Canis lupus familiaris: one gene and its partners. The protein of the gene in region 2 interacts with the protein of the main gene of each other region in a biochemical or structural test. Links are inferred from orthologs where the notes say so. Each region holds a gene or a part of one and is shown on either strand. Other genes may lie near its edges.

Region 1 (5,750 bases), on a different chromosome or scaffold from region 2:
TCTTGAAAGAAAAATGTTCTTTGTCATAACTGAGATTTGACCAAATTATAAAATAGATATGTAAAGTCCCTAGGTGTCTGGCTGGCTCAGTCAGTAAAGCATGTGACTCCTGATCTCAGGGTTGTGGGTTCAAGGCCCACACCGGGTGTAGAGAGTTAAAAATAAAACTTAAAATAAAATATGCAAAGTCCCCACAGGCAGGGCAAAGATGTAGTACTCATTTTATGAGGACTCCTATAATAATAATCAGAAGCTAATGAACAAGAAAAATGGTATTAAAACTAAGGGAGCACACTACATATAATATTTTAAATTATAACACAAGAGAGAAAAATACTTTGTTTTTAAGTTCCCAATTTTTTCTGCATGATTAAAATTTCATATTTGAAAAATTACAAACCTCTACAATACATCCACTCATTCATAATTTATTAGCATTTTATGAATAGTGTACCCTAGCTCCATATCTAAATATTGTTAGCTGCTTTGAAGACTAAAATGCAAAAGACACAGCACATAAGAGAAACAGAAACAAAAGACTGATGTAACTAAGTATTGCCATACAAGAGTTTACCATTCTGAGTAGCATAGGGCAGAGCCACAAAGCATTCTTTCTCCAGGTATCACAGCCATCATTATGGGATTCATTTCTGTTGGTCAAATCTCTTCAATATAAACTTATTTTGGTTTGGAAAGCTTTGAGGGGGATTACAAAGGAAGAAAATCTGTAGCTATACAGTGCTTATTTCATTTATGTGTTATAGTGCCATTCATTACACTTGTCTTACTTTATCCATACCTTACATGTCATTTTAGCTTTTAAATCATACAGCTACAGAGAAGCAAAAAAAAAATGTATTTTTCAAACATATAGAGCGTAGTCCTTTATCAAGATGAGACTGATAGAGAAGCAGGGACAGAGACAAGCATTACAGAACACAGAGGATTCAAAGGTTTTCCCTCAAACTAGTTTCACTGGCATGTATCCTAATGGGGTTTTCAGGAATGGGGGAAAAAAAAATCCATGACAGCAGTCTAACCAATCTCTAGGGGATGGTTTATGAGAAGAAATTCAAGAAATATCAGCTTTCTTCTTATTCCAAAGAAATATTCAGAGCAAAGAACATCAACACACTAGCTTGCTTATATACAGGTACAAGTGACCACTATAGTATTGAACCTTACAAAAGAATTCTATAATAGCTAGTTCATACAAAGGGCCCAAAGTGCAAGTTACTTTTCAAAAAACATTGGCGATATGGTCCTTAACAAAGGAGACCTTACCATTATTATTATTATTAGAAGTAAAGTGCACATTTATGCTGACACATAATCATCTTTCAAGGAGCACAACCATTTACTTAAATCATTATGATATTCCTATGAAGCTGTGGCACATGTTACCAATAGTCTGGGTCCCCAAATAAATTTGACCAAGACCCCTTCCAACACACCCCTACCAGAAACCACCAAGTCCATCCTTGCCCAGTGAGTTCATGCCAACTATTGATGCTGCTTAAGCAGTTACATGGCTGCCATGCCACGAGTGGTAGCAACTAGCATCGCTGCTCAAGTCACTGTGATGAAGAACCTTGGGATGATGGTTTTTTTTTCCTTATAATCCACTAATCTGACCCCAACGTCATCTTCCCTTGTCTCTTCTAGGGTAAATGGTAGCTTGAACTATGTTAAGGGGTCAGTTTAAAAAGACAGAAACCAACTGGACTCAGGAGACAGGATGATGAAGAATTAAAACTGGACTAACTTTCTCCTTAGGCAAATGGATACATCAGACAAATAGAAGGTTGGGGAGTAGTAGGTAATCAGTTGGGTCTGGGACACATTGTGTTAGGATACCCCAGGCCATCCAAATGGAATAGTTAGGTACAGAGTTTAATATAAGATATTAAACCTGAGTGAATGTGACTGGAAATAAAGGTTTAGGAGTGAGACATTCATAGGTAAGGACTGAAATGCTTTATAGTTTAAATGACCATGAAAAATTATCACAAACTTTTACTTTTCTAAAGAACAATGTTTTCAAAAGTCTATGGTATTGGAGCCATTGTACAGTATAGGGCCCTGAACCAACAAACAGTACCTGTCTGGCCTGGGAGCTGATCAGGTGTGGAACCTCCATCCATTCCACATCTACTGTATCAGAACCCACACCTTCACACACCAGGGGGCTCAGAGGCCCATCAGTTCCAGACCCATTGGTGTAGTGTTCCCCAAACTCTGGTTCTTAAAATGTTCACCAATTTTCAGCAAATGAGAAAAAGAAAAATACAAACATTAAACATAATAAATGTATTCAATTTATAGAAATGTCCTTTATCCTGATGTTATATGCTTCCTTCATTAACCTTGTTTACATGCCCTGTCTTTTACTAAAATTTTTTTAAAGATTTTATTTGAGAGAGCACTACAAAATTTTTTTTAAAGATTTTATTTGAGAAAGAGAGCACACAGACAGAAAGCATACACACACACACACACACACACACACACAGAAAGAAGCAAATTCCCTGATGAGGAGGGAGCCCAATGTGGGGCTTGATCCCAGGACCCTGGGATCATGACCCAGGCCAAAAGCAGACGCTTAACCAACTGAGCCACCCAGATGCCCCTCTTTCAAGAAATTAACAAGGTAACGGTTATCTTGGTGATTTCTCTAACAGTAAGTTATTTTATACTTTATTGGTACCACATAACTTTAGAGATGTTATTTCCTTTGCCTGAAATAACCTCCTAACTCTACCTCTCCTAATAAGCCCCAATTTCTCTATGAATCGTATTCTAACTACCAAAGCCTATGTATTAGTTTTTTGGGGCTGCCATAACAAAATACCACAGACTGGATGGTATAAAAGTAGAGAAATTTATTGTCTAACAGTTCTAGAGGCTAAAAGTCCAAAATCAGAGGTCAGTAGGGCCATGCTTTCCCAGAGGCTCCAGGAAAGGATCCTTCCTTGCCTCTTTCTAGCTTCTGGTGGTTGCCGGAGATTCTTGGTGATTCTTGGCTTGTAGATACATCACTCCAATCTCAGCCTGCATCTTTGTATCCCATTCTCTCTGCATTATCTATGCAGATTTCTCTCATTTTATAAGAATATCAGTCACTGGATTAGGGCTTACCCTTATCCAATAGGACCTGTCTTGACCTGATTACATTACGTCTATTTCCAAATAAGGTCACATTCACAGGTCCTTGGGGTTAGGACCTAAATATGCCTTTTGGGAGATACAATTCAACCAACAACAGTCTATAATGATATATTTTTAAAAGAAGATATCTTGATAATTCTCCAAATTAGGTGGTAAATATTTTAATACTGTGCTTTCAAAGTAAGGCACAAGGGCAGCCCGGGTGGCTCAGCGGTTTAGCGCCACCTTCAGCCCGGGGCATGGTCCTGGAGACCTGGGATCGAGTCCCACGTCAGGCTCCCTGCATGGAGCCTGCTTCTCCCTCTGCCTGTGTCTCTGCCTCTCTCTCTCTCTCTCTCTCTCATGAATAAATAAAATCTTAAAAAAACAAAAACAAAGTAAGGCACAAAATAAAAATAGTAAGACTATATTGTAATAAAAATCAGCATAAGACTAAGAATTTGTAATGTTTCTGTTTCACAAACTGTATTTACTATAGAAACCATGAACTCCAAAGTGTAGAGATTTATCTTAGATGTTTCCTCAGTGGTAGACTGCTTTACTCCTTATTATTTTTTTTCTGGCATTTCAGGCACCACTTACTTTTTAGCTCCTTTCTGATCATTACTGCTTGGTACTACCTATTCAGTTTGTTAATTCTGTCTCACAAGTCTTGGTGTTAGGCATTACTTACAGCCGATTTCTGACTTCCCAAGTCTTGGATGGTTGGAGTTCCTCAGGAAGTTATAAGCCATACTAACTGGTCAAGGCTTTAAGAATGCTGTAAATCTAACAATATTTAGGAAACACTGTTTCAGTTTAGAGATATTAAAATCCAGGGTTTCAATCTGAAACCTGTTTAAAATTTCAACTTTGTATTACAATGTTATATACAGTATTCAATATTATATACAGTATGTGGTATATTACATGCACAGTATATATTATATACAGTATGTGGTATTGGTTTCAGGGCAGCAAAATGTTAAAAACTACTCAGTCTCTGGAAGGTGAAACATTGCCTTAATATGCTAAAAAGCAGGTAGATGTAGCTAATTAGTGGTACTCTGTGTAAGCACTGGCTCTTTATTTTTCATCCTATCCCTGTCAAGCTACACAGAGACTTCTTTTCTGGAGGAGAAAAATGAGCGTAGAGCATGAAGGAGTTTAAAGGTTAGGCACACATTCCTTTACTAGCTATCAAAGAGGCAAATGTCTGGAAGCCGGAACCTGATTGTTTTACTTTTGGGGAACAATGCTATGCAAATACAGTCAATGATAAATGAAGGTGACAGTTTAGGACTTTTGGTTGATTCTTGTTTTAGGTTCACAATTTCAACTGCTACTTTTGCTGTTTCAAAAACGAATTTTCTATTCCATTAGTTTTCTCTAATTGCCTCTACTAGAGAAAAGATGAGATTGTGAGTAAAAACAGCAAAAACATATTTGGGAAGTATCATGACATTAGAATACTATTGGTGAAAGCCTTTTGATCATCATTTAATCAGTTAATCTGTGATGCTCAAAAGTTCAATTAACTGTGTCTAAAGTGAAGCAGAGATATGCAGTATTTTATCAAGGCTATTTCATACTAGACAAATGAAAACTCAAGTCCTTCCTTACTAACTCATTATCCCCATTTGGTTTTATTTTGACTTTTCACCCCTATCTAATGCTACTTATCCAGGTTCAAGAAATAAAGCGTACGGGGTAAGGAGCACTTGAAAATAAAGAAAAGCAAAAGTACAGCCAAAAAATTGCTAGAGAAATGTATTTTCTTCACAAAATCTCCGTGGTTATCTAAAGGGAGAAGCAGACCACGTGGATGCACAGGACCATTTGCAGCTCTGACAACACTTAAAGCACCATGGACTTCCTGGAGGATTTCCCAAGCCTTCTAGGAATAGATGTAATGCCCCAAGTAGCCCCAAGAATGGGGCAAACACAAGTCATAGGAGGGGCTGAAGGTGAAGCAAATGTGCTGTGACCTCATACCTCTGAGGAGAAAGGTGGAAACCTGCCAAAGGCCCTCTCCACCACACCCTCACCCCTGCTCCACTGTTTAGGCTCCCCTTGTTGGAACTCCACCTCTCTCCCATCCAGGCCTGGGCATCTGCTGTTCTGCTATGCTGACCAGCTACTAACTACCTCCTGGGTTCCCCAGTCTGAGCCAGGTTTCCTTCCAACATACTTTCCTAGAGCACACTCCTTCAGAACTCCAGCCTGGAGCTTTAACTACTCATTCTGTAGTACCACGATGGCATTAGCTCTGTATCCTCCACTAGACTGCATGCTCCATGAGACCAGAACCACGCCTGTTGTGTCGCCTGCAGCACTGACAGCGCCTCCCAGCACCCTGCCTGCTCCATCAGGCCCTTCCACCTATGTTGCCAGAGCAGCAGGCCAGCACAAGTGATCTAAGTTCAGGTACATACTTTTGAACTTGAACCTCTCCCTGGGATTGTAAAACTCCCAATCTAAGGGTTAATCTGAGAATGCACACATCTGAACAAGTGATTAGTGACTGGTAAACATCTCAAGCCTGGCAAAGTAGACATGTACGATATTATTTATTTTTTTACCTCGCAGGGCTAAAACACCAC
Region 2 (5,691 bases):
CTGGGCTTCTCCACTGGCTGGGGAGGGTCACTTAGACACACCTGTTACACTTAGACACATGGAAAATAAAATTTCCCACGGACGAGAACAGAGAAAGGCATAATCATGCATACCACCTGTCTGACGCAAATACATATCTAAGTAATTATAGAAGAAAAGAGCACCCATGCGCAAGCATTGTGCTGGTCATGTTAACTCTTAGGAACAAGCAGGCTTTGCAACCACTCTCTGAAAGCTCTGATAGGATTGGGGACAGTTTCTGTGCAGGAGGACATACTCTACACTGATATTTTGTATGGTGTGATTTCTTTTTGTCAACCACGGAGTACAGGATCACAGTGGCACGCTGCGCTAACAGGGCCCATGGGGGATAACGTTTTAAAACAACTATTCAGGGCAGCCCCGGTGGTGCAGCGGTTTAGCGCCGCCTGCAGCCCAGGGTGTGATCCTGGGGACCCTGGATCGAGTCCCACGTTGGGCTCTCTGCATGGAGCCTGCTTCTCCCTCTGCCTGTGTCTCTGCCTCTCTCTCTCTGTGTCTCTATGAATAAATAAATAAAATCTTTTTTAAAAAAATAAAATAACTATTCAAAGCGTTCTACACTAATCCACATCAGTTTCCTTTAACCTCCATCACCAATGGATTTTTATCTGGCAAGAGCGCTGCTCACATTTAATCTCTGCTCCTTCACTGCTCTTCTGAAAAATCTCTGTCCTCACTGCTTGTGTATGTGGATCAGTGGAAAAGAGATGAATGAGCTGGCCCTGGCCTGGCCGTGGCTGAAGTGGTGGCCACTGTTTTCTCCTGACCTGCTTTTCTGAAGCCTCCTTCAGAGCCTGCTGCCCCCCATCCCTATTCCTATACTACTTGATGGCTTCAAATTCTAGTTACCTCTGCACTGGCCACACAGCCCAGCAGTTCCCCACACTGCCACCCTGGGTAAGCCATGTTCATTCACCATTTGTGCCAAATCCGAGGGTAGTTATTCCTTTAATGTTATCCTTACATTTAAAATAATCCCTATGGTATATGGCATTCTGCTTATATAGGCATTGAGGCACTGAATGTCATGATTAAGCACAGGCTCGAGAAACAGCCTGGCTCAAGCCCTGGCTCTGCTACTTTGAAGTAACTTGGTCAAATTACTTCTCTTTAATTTGGTTTCTGGGCAGCCCCGGTGGTGCAGCGGAGGCCCGGGATCGAGTCCCACATCAGGCTCCCTGCATGGAGCCTGCTTTTCCCTCTGTCTGTGTCTCTGCCTCTCTCTCTCTGTGTCTATGAGTAAATTAAAAAAAAAAATCTTTAAAAAAATTGGTTTCCCTCTTTATAAAATGGGGCTAAGCACATGGGCTGGCACATAGGCTGGCTCCGTGGGTGGAGGTATGGAAGTTCCCTCTCCCCTTTTAAAGGCCCTAGGGGATTGCCACTTCCTGCAGAGATGAAGTCTGTATCTGGTTGGGTTGGCAAGGGGCCACCCAGCCAAGCCCTGAGATTCAGAGGGCACAACCCCAACCCTCCCTGGGCTAGCAGTGGCCATGGAGCAGGGGCTAGGGTGGGCAGGCAGAAGCCCCAGGGCAGCTGCAGCAGGTACCCCTCCCGGTCTGTGGAAGGTGGGACCATACACCAGCTGGCTCCAAGGCCCCTCAGGGCTCCTCTGTCCCAGTAGGTTTCACTTACAAAACACACATTTGAAGATAATAAGAATTTAAAGTGTAGGGCACCTCACCCAGTACCTGGGTGATCACATTGGCCAAACCATGCATTGATGCGCACCCAGAAGTCAGTCCTGCTATCACCTGAGGTTATTTTGAGGGTTAAAGGAATATAACGTAGGTACAGATCTAAGACTAATAATACCTGGCACCTAGTAAGCATGAAACAAATGATACAAATGTTGGCTGCTACTTTTAGCGCCACTATAAATTGAAATCAAGTATTTTCCAAATACATGTGTTCAACTGATATTTATTATTATACTGTGCCAGGTGCTATTCTAGGTACTGGCACATGTCATATATCAGTGGATGACTAACATTTATTATTTGCTTTTGCTCCATGATCTCAGAAGCCTCCAGAACGCCTCATGCCTTGACTTTTGGAAATCACTGAAAACCACTGGAGGCAATGGCTGGTTCACAATCAAACACCCACAGGTGTGTGCAAAGGCAGTGGGAACTAGATTCCTGTGTGAACAGCCGCCTTCATTACCTTCTGCACCTCTTTGCCACTGCCAGAATCTCAAAACAAGTCCGTTTGTAAACTTTCCTCTACTCATTACTTTCCCAACCACTGAAATTCTCAGGATTCACTATGCTGGTTCAGTGATGACTTCTATTTTTTTTTTTTTTTTTTTTTTTTTTTTTTTTTTTCAGTGATGACTTCTAAACAGCAAATTTACCCGTGGGGAGGAGGGAATCAAGAAACCTCGATGGCACATTATGATTCTTAGCACTACCGACTTCCCTCTATTTATTTTAAATTTTATTTAAATTCAATTTGCCAATATATAGTATAAAACCCAGCGCTCATCCCATCAAGTGCCCTCCTCAGTGGTTTCTTTTTTACTTTTATTTTTATTTATTTCAATTTTAAATTCGATTTGCCAACATATAACACCCGACTTTCTTCAACTCTGCCCCACAGCACTTTCTATGAAGACGGAACTGAAATTTTAATTTCCATTTAATGTTTTAAAAAAGATTTTATTTATTCATGAGACACAGAGTGAGGCAGAGACACAGGCAGAGGGAGGAGCAGGCTCCCTGTGGGGGCAGCCCTATGTGGGACTCGATCCCAGGACCCCGGGATCACGCCCTGATCCGAAGGCAGATGCCCAACCCTGAGCCACCCAGGCGTCCCTTAATTTAACATTTAAGCATTGCTTACGTGTGGCTATTCTGTGGGTGAGCACAGCTCTTCATATCTGGCTTTTAAAAGGCTTTCCAGTTCACACTCAAAATCATCATTTAGTATTTCCATTATTTCCATTCTTCTAACATGCTGAAAGTCTATCCCCGATAACAAGGGCTGAAAAGGAGAAGAGCTCCCCGGGGAACCCAAAAGTCCCCATTGCACAGTCTGGGCATCAGACTGCTAGCTGGCTGCACGGCTCACCTGGAACCACCGCCTCCTGACTTCCACGTCGGAGCGCGCATCTCGAGGTTCACCGCCCAGAGCGGAACTGGAGACTCAGCTCCTCAGTTTTTAAAAAATGAATACAGACAACGTAAGCTTTAACTCGTGCATTTTCTTATCCAGCACCGAGGGTCAGGATGTTGCCTGGTGCGGTAGCGGGGCCGCCGGATCTCCGGGCACCCAAACCTCTCTTGACCTCTCTTGGCTCGGCTCGCACAGCGTAAAGCACACGTGTAGCAGGTTGGTTCTGCAGAACTCGTCTGACAGGCTTCGGAGCCTCGACGCCCTCGCCAGCCCGGCTCCCCACCCGCTCAGCGGGCGCGCGCGGCCCCCCGCCCCTCGACCCCCGCCGCCCCGCCCCGGCCTACCTGCGCGCGCTCCGCTGGCGGCGCCGCCGTCCCCGCCGCCGTCCGCGCCGCCCAGCGCTGCGGCCGCACGCAGCGCGACGCCGCAGCTCGCCGACAGGTTGCCCGTGGCCTTCCGCGCCAGGGTCAGGATGGGCGCCGACCAGCCCTCCGACCCCGCCTGAGGCTTCGCCGCGCTCCGCAGTTCGCCGGGGCTAGGCAGCTGGCTGCGGTCCACGATCTCGAACTCTTCTCCGGGTTCCGGCCTCGGTTCCCGCCCCGCCAGGGAGCCGTCTTCCCCTTCGGCCATCTTGGCCGCGTCACGTGGCCCCGGCGGGCGGAGGACTGGGCGCGGGCGGGCGCGCGGGGGGGCGGCGGTCTCCGTCCGGGCGGGCAGGGATTTTTTTTTTTCCATCTTCGCGAAGTTCTCCTTCCTCTTCATCACCCTCCTTCTCTCCTTCCTTTAACCTTAAAAAAGTTCAGGAAAGTACAAATCATAACCTAAAAAGCAGCACCCATATTCCTGGCAGTTGAGAGGACTTGGGTCCTGCCCCCTCCCCTGGCTCGGAACACAGCCCGAGGGCTTTGGTGTCATCCTGGCTCTGTTTCCTCTTTCTGATTTTCGTTTCATGACTTACTTTTTCTATTTCGACACTTTTCTGCAGCACTCTTCAGAACAAGCTCTAGGCGAGGTAGAAAATCAAGATTTTTTTTTTTTAATTAAAAAATCCTACATAGGGACGCCTGGGCGGCCTAGCGGTTGAGCGTCTGTCTGGCTCAGGGCGTGACCCCAGGGTCCTAGGATCGGGTCCCGCATCGGGCTCCCTGTGAGGCGCCTGCTTCTCCCTCTGCCTGTGTCTCTGTCTCCCTCTGTGTCTCTCTTGAATGAATAAAATCTAAAAAAAAAAAAAGGCAATACCCGTACTGTCACCATCAGGGATTTTAGGTACAAGTGCCTGGTTGCCTTATTTCTTTTAGCAGTGATTGTGCCTTATTTATATATTGAAATACACTTTATAATTGATTTCTCCTTTATATAATAGGACTTTATGTTAATTTTTTTGGAATTTTGAGTGTTGGCAAGCTTATTATCTATGAATTGCATTTTAGAATAGTCAGTGGGCATTATAAGGCATGTATTATCTTGGGGGATCCCTGGGTGGCTCAGCACTTTAGCGCCTGCCTTTGGCGCGGGGCGTGATCCTGGAGACCCGGGATCGAGTCCCACATTGGGCTCCCTGCATGGAGCCTGCTTCTCCCTCTGCCTGTGTCTCTGCTCTTTCTGTGTCTCTCATGAATAAATAAATAAAATCTTTAAAAAAAAAAAAGTATTATCGGGAATGCCTGGGTGACTCAGTGGTTGAGTGTCTGCCTCCTGCTAAGGTCATGATCCCCGGGTCCTGGGATCGAGTCCCACAACAGGCTCCTTGCCGGGAGCCTGCTTCTCTCTCTGCCTGTGTCTCTGACTCTCTCTTTCTGTGTCTCTCATGAATAAATAAATAAATAAATAAAATCTTTTTAAAAAATGTATTATCGAAAGGTTATGATGGGCCCCATAGCGAAGGTAACTGAATTTGCATGTAACTATTTCAAGCCTAGCAACACACAGTAGTTTAAAATTCTTTGTAATTTTACTATATATGAGGCCAACTTTGGAGAAAATTTGGTAAGAGGAACCTGTGGTTTGGAGCCCACTTGGTGAAGAGGATGTATATGATTATTTTAGGTACAAATAGTAAAATTTTAAAAACTGTACAGGTTTGTTATTTTCTATGATTTTTCATATGCTTGAAATGTCCCATACTAATTAGAAAGGCCCTATCTCCAAATATGTAGCTCAATCCCCCCTCCCCATGTTTTCTCCACATCCTCCTGGTCCTTTCTTCAATCTTCTCCAGACCTGTTTTTCTATGCCTTGAATTTCAGCTGCCTGCTGCCTCCTTCTGAGTGTGAGTCTACCCTCTGCCTCATTTTTCTTTCTAATTGTCTGAAGGTTTCTCACTACATTTCTCAGACTCCATCTGTCACTCACATCTGGCCCTGCCCTTCTTTTCCCAGTGCCCCTGCCTGCGTGGACTCTCACCTCGCTTTGCAGACACTCTCCAGGACATCTTACATCTTGGGGCTTTACTCTGTTCTAGGCGAGATTGTTCCTCTGTTCCCCAGACTTAGGCCTGATCCTTTCAGCCCCCTGCTTATAGCTTTCTCTCAC
Region 3 (5,844 bases), about 72 Mb from region 2:
CATGAAACCCTTTGGTGGTACTTTGGGACACAGACCTTTCTCACTTGGTACTAATATAATACTTCAGTCTTAAAAAATTATATTTAGAGGATATAATCAGGATTTGTAGATATGAATGATAACACTAATTCAAGTTATATCCACTTAAAGTTTCTGAAGGTAACAACATTTGTTTAGAGTAAACCGTGTGATGATCATCAGTACTTTTCCCTTCATATAATTCTTACTTAATTCTCACAACTCTGCAGTCATTATGTCCATGCAAAAACTGAAGAAATTGAAGTTTAGAGAAATTCATTAATTTGGCCTGTGTTACAAAAATAGTAAATGGCAGAGCTGGAATCTGAACCCAGGCCTGACTCCAAAGAACATGATTTTCTCTAAGGCGGGTTATTAAAAGCATATATGTATGTGGACTGATATACATACATATGTAAACTGATAAAACCAAAACAGGGCGCCTGGGTGGCTCAGCAGTTGAGCGTCTGCCTTCGGCTCAGGGCACGATCCCGGGGTCCTGGGATGGAGTCCCATATAGGGCTCCCCACTGACAGCCTGCTTGTCCCTCTGCCTGTGTCTCTGCCTCTTTCAGTGTGTCTCATGAACAAATAAAACTTAAAAAAAAAAAAAAAAAATCAAAGAAAAATGGAAGATAATTACACGAAATATTTAGGGTCAGGCCTTACTATCACTGCATGTAAAACTTAGCACTAAACTTCTTGTCAAGACTAATGATTACTACATGCATACCAAACACTGATGATTGTGGTGTAGTCCCTTTAAATATTAACTATGCCTAATACTCCTTTAACAACGGATTTTTTGAGATTAACATTAAATCTTCAACACAAGAAACACCCTTAAGGTAAGGAATATATTTTAAAATGGGGTATGCTACTGCATCAAACTGCATGTTTTTCACTTAACAAAATCATGGATCCATTTCCAGGCCAATACACAGAGATCTACATGGTTACTAAATACACATTAAAGACAAATCATTGTTGCCCCCAAAATAAAGTCGCATGGTCTCCATATAGTTAGATACATCTCCAAGTGAAATTAAACAGATATATAAATGACTGTATTTGAAATGTGCATGCAGACGAGAAGGTTAAGGACCTTTCATACACTCTGCTTACAAGAGTCTGAATTGCCACATTTTTTTGGGAAGTAAACAATATATTTTAAAATCTTAAAGATAATCCCAATCAACTGTGACCAAGAAGTAGCCTACAGATACAAGATCTTCAATCCATAAGGTTATAGGTCCAACTGCATCTAATGCAGTACTTATACAGCAAACAAAACAAAACCCAAAACCAAAAAAACTGGAAACAATCTATACTTCTATCAACAGGGAAATGACTAAAGTATCATGAAATAACATGCTTCTAGTTTAAAAACCATTCAGAGATGGATAATAAACTTAAAAATATATCCATGATTTTTAAGTGGAAAAAAAAAAGTTGATAGAATTTTATGCAGTGGCATATCCCATTTTTAAACACACACACATACACACACTCTCCCTCAAACCTGTATACAGATAATATGGAAGGATACACACCAAATTGTGAAAAATGAGTATGTGGACTGAGAAGAAAAAGGATAGGGAGAAATTATTAACTTTATATAACTCTATTAACAGTGTAAGCATGTGCTATATTCACTGGTGATATTCTAAAGTATTCAAAGTAGATAAAGAACTATTCTAATACAAAACAAACAAGAATCAACAAAAACAAGCAGCGCCTGGGTGGCCCATTCAGTTAAGTGGTCAACTCTGGACTTTGGCCCAGGTCATCATCTCAGGAGTCGGCTTGAAGATTTTCTCTCCCTCTGCCCCAGCCCCAGCCCCAGCCCTACTCACATGCCTTCAATCTCTCTAGAATAAATATTTTCCAAAAATAAAACAACTCCCATTCATAATAGTTCCAACATTACTTACACATTTACAATAATATGGGGAAATTCATAATAATATGGGGAAAGTCAATCATATGATCGGCCTCAAAAAACACACTCCGAAAATTGACAGCATTTTTTCTTTTTTAATACCTTGGCTTTTACTGTGTTCACTCAGGCACTACGTCTGACTAATCCTCTCACAACCATTAAACGGCTATTTTATTCTACTTCTTAGGACGAACGATGCTACGATGTAATTTTTACATAACTTATTCAAGACAACACAGGACAAAAACAACCCACAAAGATTCCAGGTGATTTACATTCTGATCCTCATTATTAACATTACTAAGCTTGGTTTGGGGTTTTGCTACACGTAAGACATCTCGTTATAGACACAGAACTGGACCGAGCGCCCAAAAGCACTGTGATCCCAACACGGAAATCCTTGTTGAGCATCTGCGAAGCACAGAGTCTGCGTGAGGCTTTGACAAGGCAGGAGCGACCAAGAGGAGCGTCGCGCCCGCCTCCCGGAGACTTAGCGGCGGTCGGACTCGCTAACAGGCTGTGCCGGGGACACAGTGTAGACCGGTGCTGTGCTCGGGGAATCCGAATGCGCGGTCTCAGCAGTAACGCAACCTCGGAGAAGAGCCCACCCATTCTGACCTCCACTTTAAAAAACTCACTCTTGGCAGGACAGTCAATGTCACATCTTTGCATCAACTAATACAAGAAAAAGAGCCGGGTTTCTACTGTGCCACGAGCAGGGCAGTTCTGCCGTCATGGCCGCAGCCTAGGAAGAAAGTGCTTGGGCGCCGCAGCCGTGCTTCAAGGGCAAGAACCAGCCAGGGGCCCGCACCTACTTTACTACAAGCACTAAGAGGGCCAGAAACGGCCAAAGTTTCACTGATGAAACGTGATGTCTGAAGGGAACGGTCCTCAAAGCAACGTGGCGGGGGGGGGGGGGGCGACCCCGACACTCCCGGGACCCCCCCGCACACGCTGGAAGCTACGCCCTCAAGTTCCGAGGCGCAGCCCGTCCGCGCGCAGGCGTGTCTCGGCCGCACCAGACGTCCCGGGCTCCGGCGTCCTGCCTGGGCCGAGGCCGCTCCCGCGGAGCCCTCTCCTACCGCGGTTACGTAAAGACGCTCGCGGCGGGACGGGCCCGGGCTGGGTCGTCAGAAGCAGAGACTTGAAAGACGTCGCTTGAGCCTCAAGAATCTGGGGCCGTTCGGCTTTAGAGGAGCCTCCCGCGGCCTCCCGCGACCGCCTTCCCTCCTCTGCAAGCAACGACTGACCTTACACCCGCCCTGCAGGTGAGGCGGCGAGGCCGGAGGGCGCGGGGGCTCGCGGCGGGGGGCGCCGGGGGCGGGGACGGGGACGCGGACCTCGCAGCCCCCAGCCCGGGCCCGACCGGGCCAAGCGGAGCCGGCGCAGTCGGCAGCCAGGGCCACCGGCGACGGGCTCCCTGCTCCGCCGTCTCCCCTCCAGTCCCAGAAACGCTCAAAACCCACAACTTTTTGTCGCCTTCACGGCGGGCCGACGCCACCCAAGCTCGGCGCCGTCCGGGCCGCCCCGGCCCTCAGCAGCCGCGGCCCTCAGCCTCCCCGGCCCTCAGGGCCCTCACCGCCCCGGCCCTCCGCCGCGGCCCCGCCGACAAGGACACCGAGCCCCGCCGCGCCGGCGAGGCCTCCAGCTGCCGCCTTTGTGCCCGGGCCCACGCGGGCCGGCGCCGGGGCCGGGGCTCCACGTCCGGGCTCGCGGGGGCGGCGGCGGCCGGCCGCACACGCCCTCGCCCGCGCCCTCGCCCGCGCCCCCGCCGCCCCCGCCCCCCGGCCGGCCCGCCCGCGGCGCCCCCGCCCCCGCCCCCCGCCCCCGCGCCAGGCGGCCGCGGCCCGACGGACGCTGCGGAAGGCCCGGCTCACCTGGGGGGTTGCTGGTGGCTGGGCAGCTTTCCGGGCGGGCGGGGGGCGTCAGGACGAGGAAGCGGGCGCGGCGGGCGGCGCGGGCGGGCGGGCGGGCGGGCGGGCGGCCGGGGCCCCGGGGGCGGCGGGCTGGCCGACGAGGTGCAGGCGCGCCGGCGGCAGCGGCGGGGGCGGCGGCGACGGCTCCGCGGCTCCCTCAGGATCTCCTCGGGCAGGTCCAAGATGGCGGCGCTCCCTGCACAGGGTTTCCTGTCACCCTCGCAATGGGCCGGACCACAAAAGAAGCGGGGGGAGGAGGCTGCGCGCGCAGCCGGCGGGGCCCGGAAGACGGCGGCCGGCCCGGCCTGCTGGCCACGCCCCTTCCCCGCCGCGGCCCTCGGGACTCGCCGCGCGGCCGCCGAGACCCGCCCCGCGGGCGGCGGCGCCTGGAGGGGCGGAGGGCGGCGCTTGTGCGCAGGCGCAGCGGCCGGCGCCCGCTTCCCAGGGGCGCTCCTGCGCAGGCGCGCGCGGCACCTGCTGGGGGCGGGCCGGGCCGGGGCGGGGCGGGCCGGGCTCGGCGCTCGGTGGACCCTGCGGCTCCCGGCGCCCCGGCCCCGGCCCCGGCCCCCGCCCCCCCGCCCCCGCCTGCCGGACACGCCCGCGCCGCGCGCCCCACGCCGGGCACAGTCTGCTGCGCCCGCCCGCAGCGGGGCCCGAGGGCACGCGTCCCCGTCCCGCAGCCGCAGGAGGCTCTTGGCCCCATTGTACCGATGGCGAAACTGAGGCTCGCGTCGATCGAGCCGGGGGCCCGGGATCCAGCAGCCGGAACGTGGCGCTTCCCGTTGTGGGTCGCCTCTGCCCTCCGAGGGGCCCTGGGACGCGGGGCCCGAGCACCCCAGCACCCCGGCGCCTCCGGCCTGCCACCCTCCCGGAAGGCCCTGCGCAGCCGGCGGCGGGCGGCCCTCGGGGGACCCCAACGCCCGCCTGTGCCTGCGGAGACGGTTACGGGGATCGCCTGTTCCTGTACTTCTGTGTTCCTATTGTTAGCGTTTTACAGCTACGTTGGCGTGGAGAGGGATGTTTTAATGTCACACCGCACGACACTTTCTTTAACCTGGAAATTCATCTTTCCTTCCTGACTTTCAAAGCACTGAAGACATTTCTGCGGGTCCCCACGAAAGCATCGTGGGCCCCAGGCTCGGTGCTTCCGGTGGCTCAGGTGACGGCCCTGCCTCAGTTTACCCAAAGGAAGCTCAGGCTCTCGGCAGGAGGAGCTTTCAGAAGCTGGCTTTGCCTCGGCGACGGGACACTTCCTTGGAAAACCGTATGGCAGTTCACACATGTCTCATTTTCAGAAAGACCCGGCTGCGAATCCCTGATCTTCCACTTACTGATGACCCACGGCTGGGCACGTCCCTTGATTTCCCAGATCCGCAGTCTTTTCTGCAAAATGAGGATGATGATACCTATCACCCGTGGGTCCTTGTGAGCGTTAAATGAGGTGATATACACAAAGCGCTTGACATACGCGTTTTTAATACGTGGGAATGGCTATTAGGTGATAATCCGATATAAGGTTATGTTGAAATCCCTTCTGGCCCTGGAGGTCTATGCTTCTATTCCTGTATTCTTTATTTTTATTTTTTTAAGATTTTATTTATTTATTTATTTATTTATTTATTTATTTATTTATTCATTCATTCATTCATGAGAGACACAGAGAGAGACACAGGCAGAGGCACAGGCAGAGGGAGAAGCAGGCTCCATGCAGGGAGCCCGACGTGGGACTCCATCCCGGGTCTCCAGGATCACGCCCTGGGCTGAAGGCGGCACTGAACCGCTGGGCCACCAGAGCTGCCCTTCCTGTATTCTTTAATTCCAATAAGCATACTTTGTGCTCATGATTCAACATCTCTGAAATCAAGAAATTTGCAAAGGAAAGAAGGAAGCTGTGAACCATTTGGCATCACTTGTCCAGCTGTGAGCTTAGGTCTGGCCAGAACGTTTCACTATATCCACTTGTCCCCTT

The links.
Region 1: the proteins of RUFY1 (region 2) and RAB4A form a complex in vitro, tested with the Homo sapiens proteins (2 studies listed by BioGRID). The link is inferred for Canis lupus familiaris from reciprocal best matches to the Homo sapiens genes RUFY1 and RAB4A.
Region 3: the proteins of RUFY1 (region 2) and RAB14 form a complex in vitro, tested with the Homo sapiens proteins (2 studies listed by BioGRID). The link is inferred for Canis lupus familiaris from reciprocal best matches to the Homo sapiens genes RUFY1 and RAB14.

The regions. Positions count from the first base shown.
Region 1 is NC_049225.1:10,361,271-10,367,020, forward strand, and holds the start of RAB4A (ras-related protein Rab-4A), read right to left. Parts: upstream 3,922-5,750; 5' UTR 3,903-3,921; coding exon 3,842-3,902; intron 1-3,841. UniProt on the Homo sapiens protein: The small GTPases Rab are key regulators of intracellular membrane trafficking, from the formation of transport vesicles to their fusion with membranes.
Region 2 is NC_049232.1:2,388,937-2,394,627, forward strand, and holds the start of RUFY1 (RUN and FYVE domain-containing protein 1), read right to left. Parts: upstream 3,810-5,691; 5' UTR 3,790-3,809; coding exon 3,504-3,789; intron 3,447-3,503; exon of another isoform or gene 3,115-3,446; intron 1-3,114. UniProt on the Homo sapiens protein: Activating adapter involved in cargo sorting from early/recycling endosomes. Regulates retrieval of proteins from endosomes to the trans-Golgi network through interaction with the dynein-dynactin complex.
Region 3 is NC_049232.1:74,591,120-74,596,963, forward strand, and holds the start of RAB14 (ras-related protein Rab-14), read right to left. Parts: upstream 3,922-5,844; 5' UTR 3,837-3,921; intron 3,228-3,836; exon of another isoform or gene 2,935-3,227; intron 1-2,934.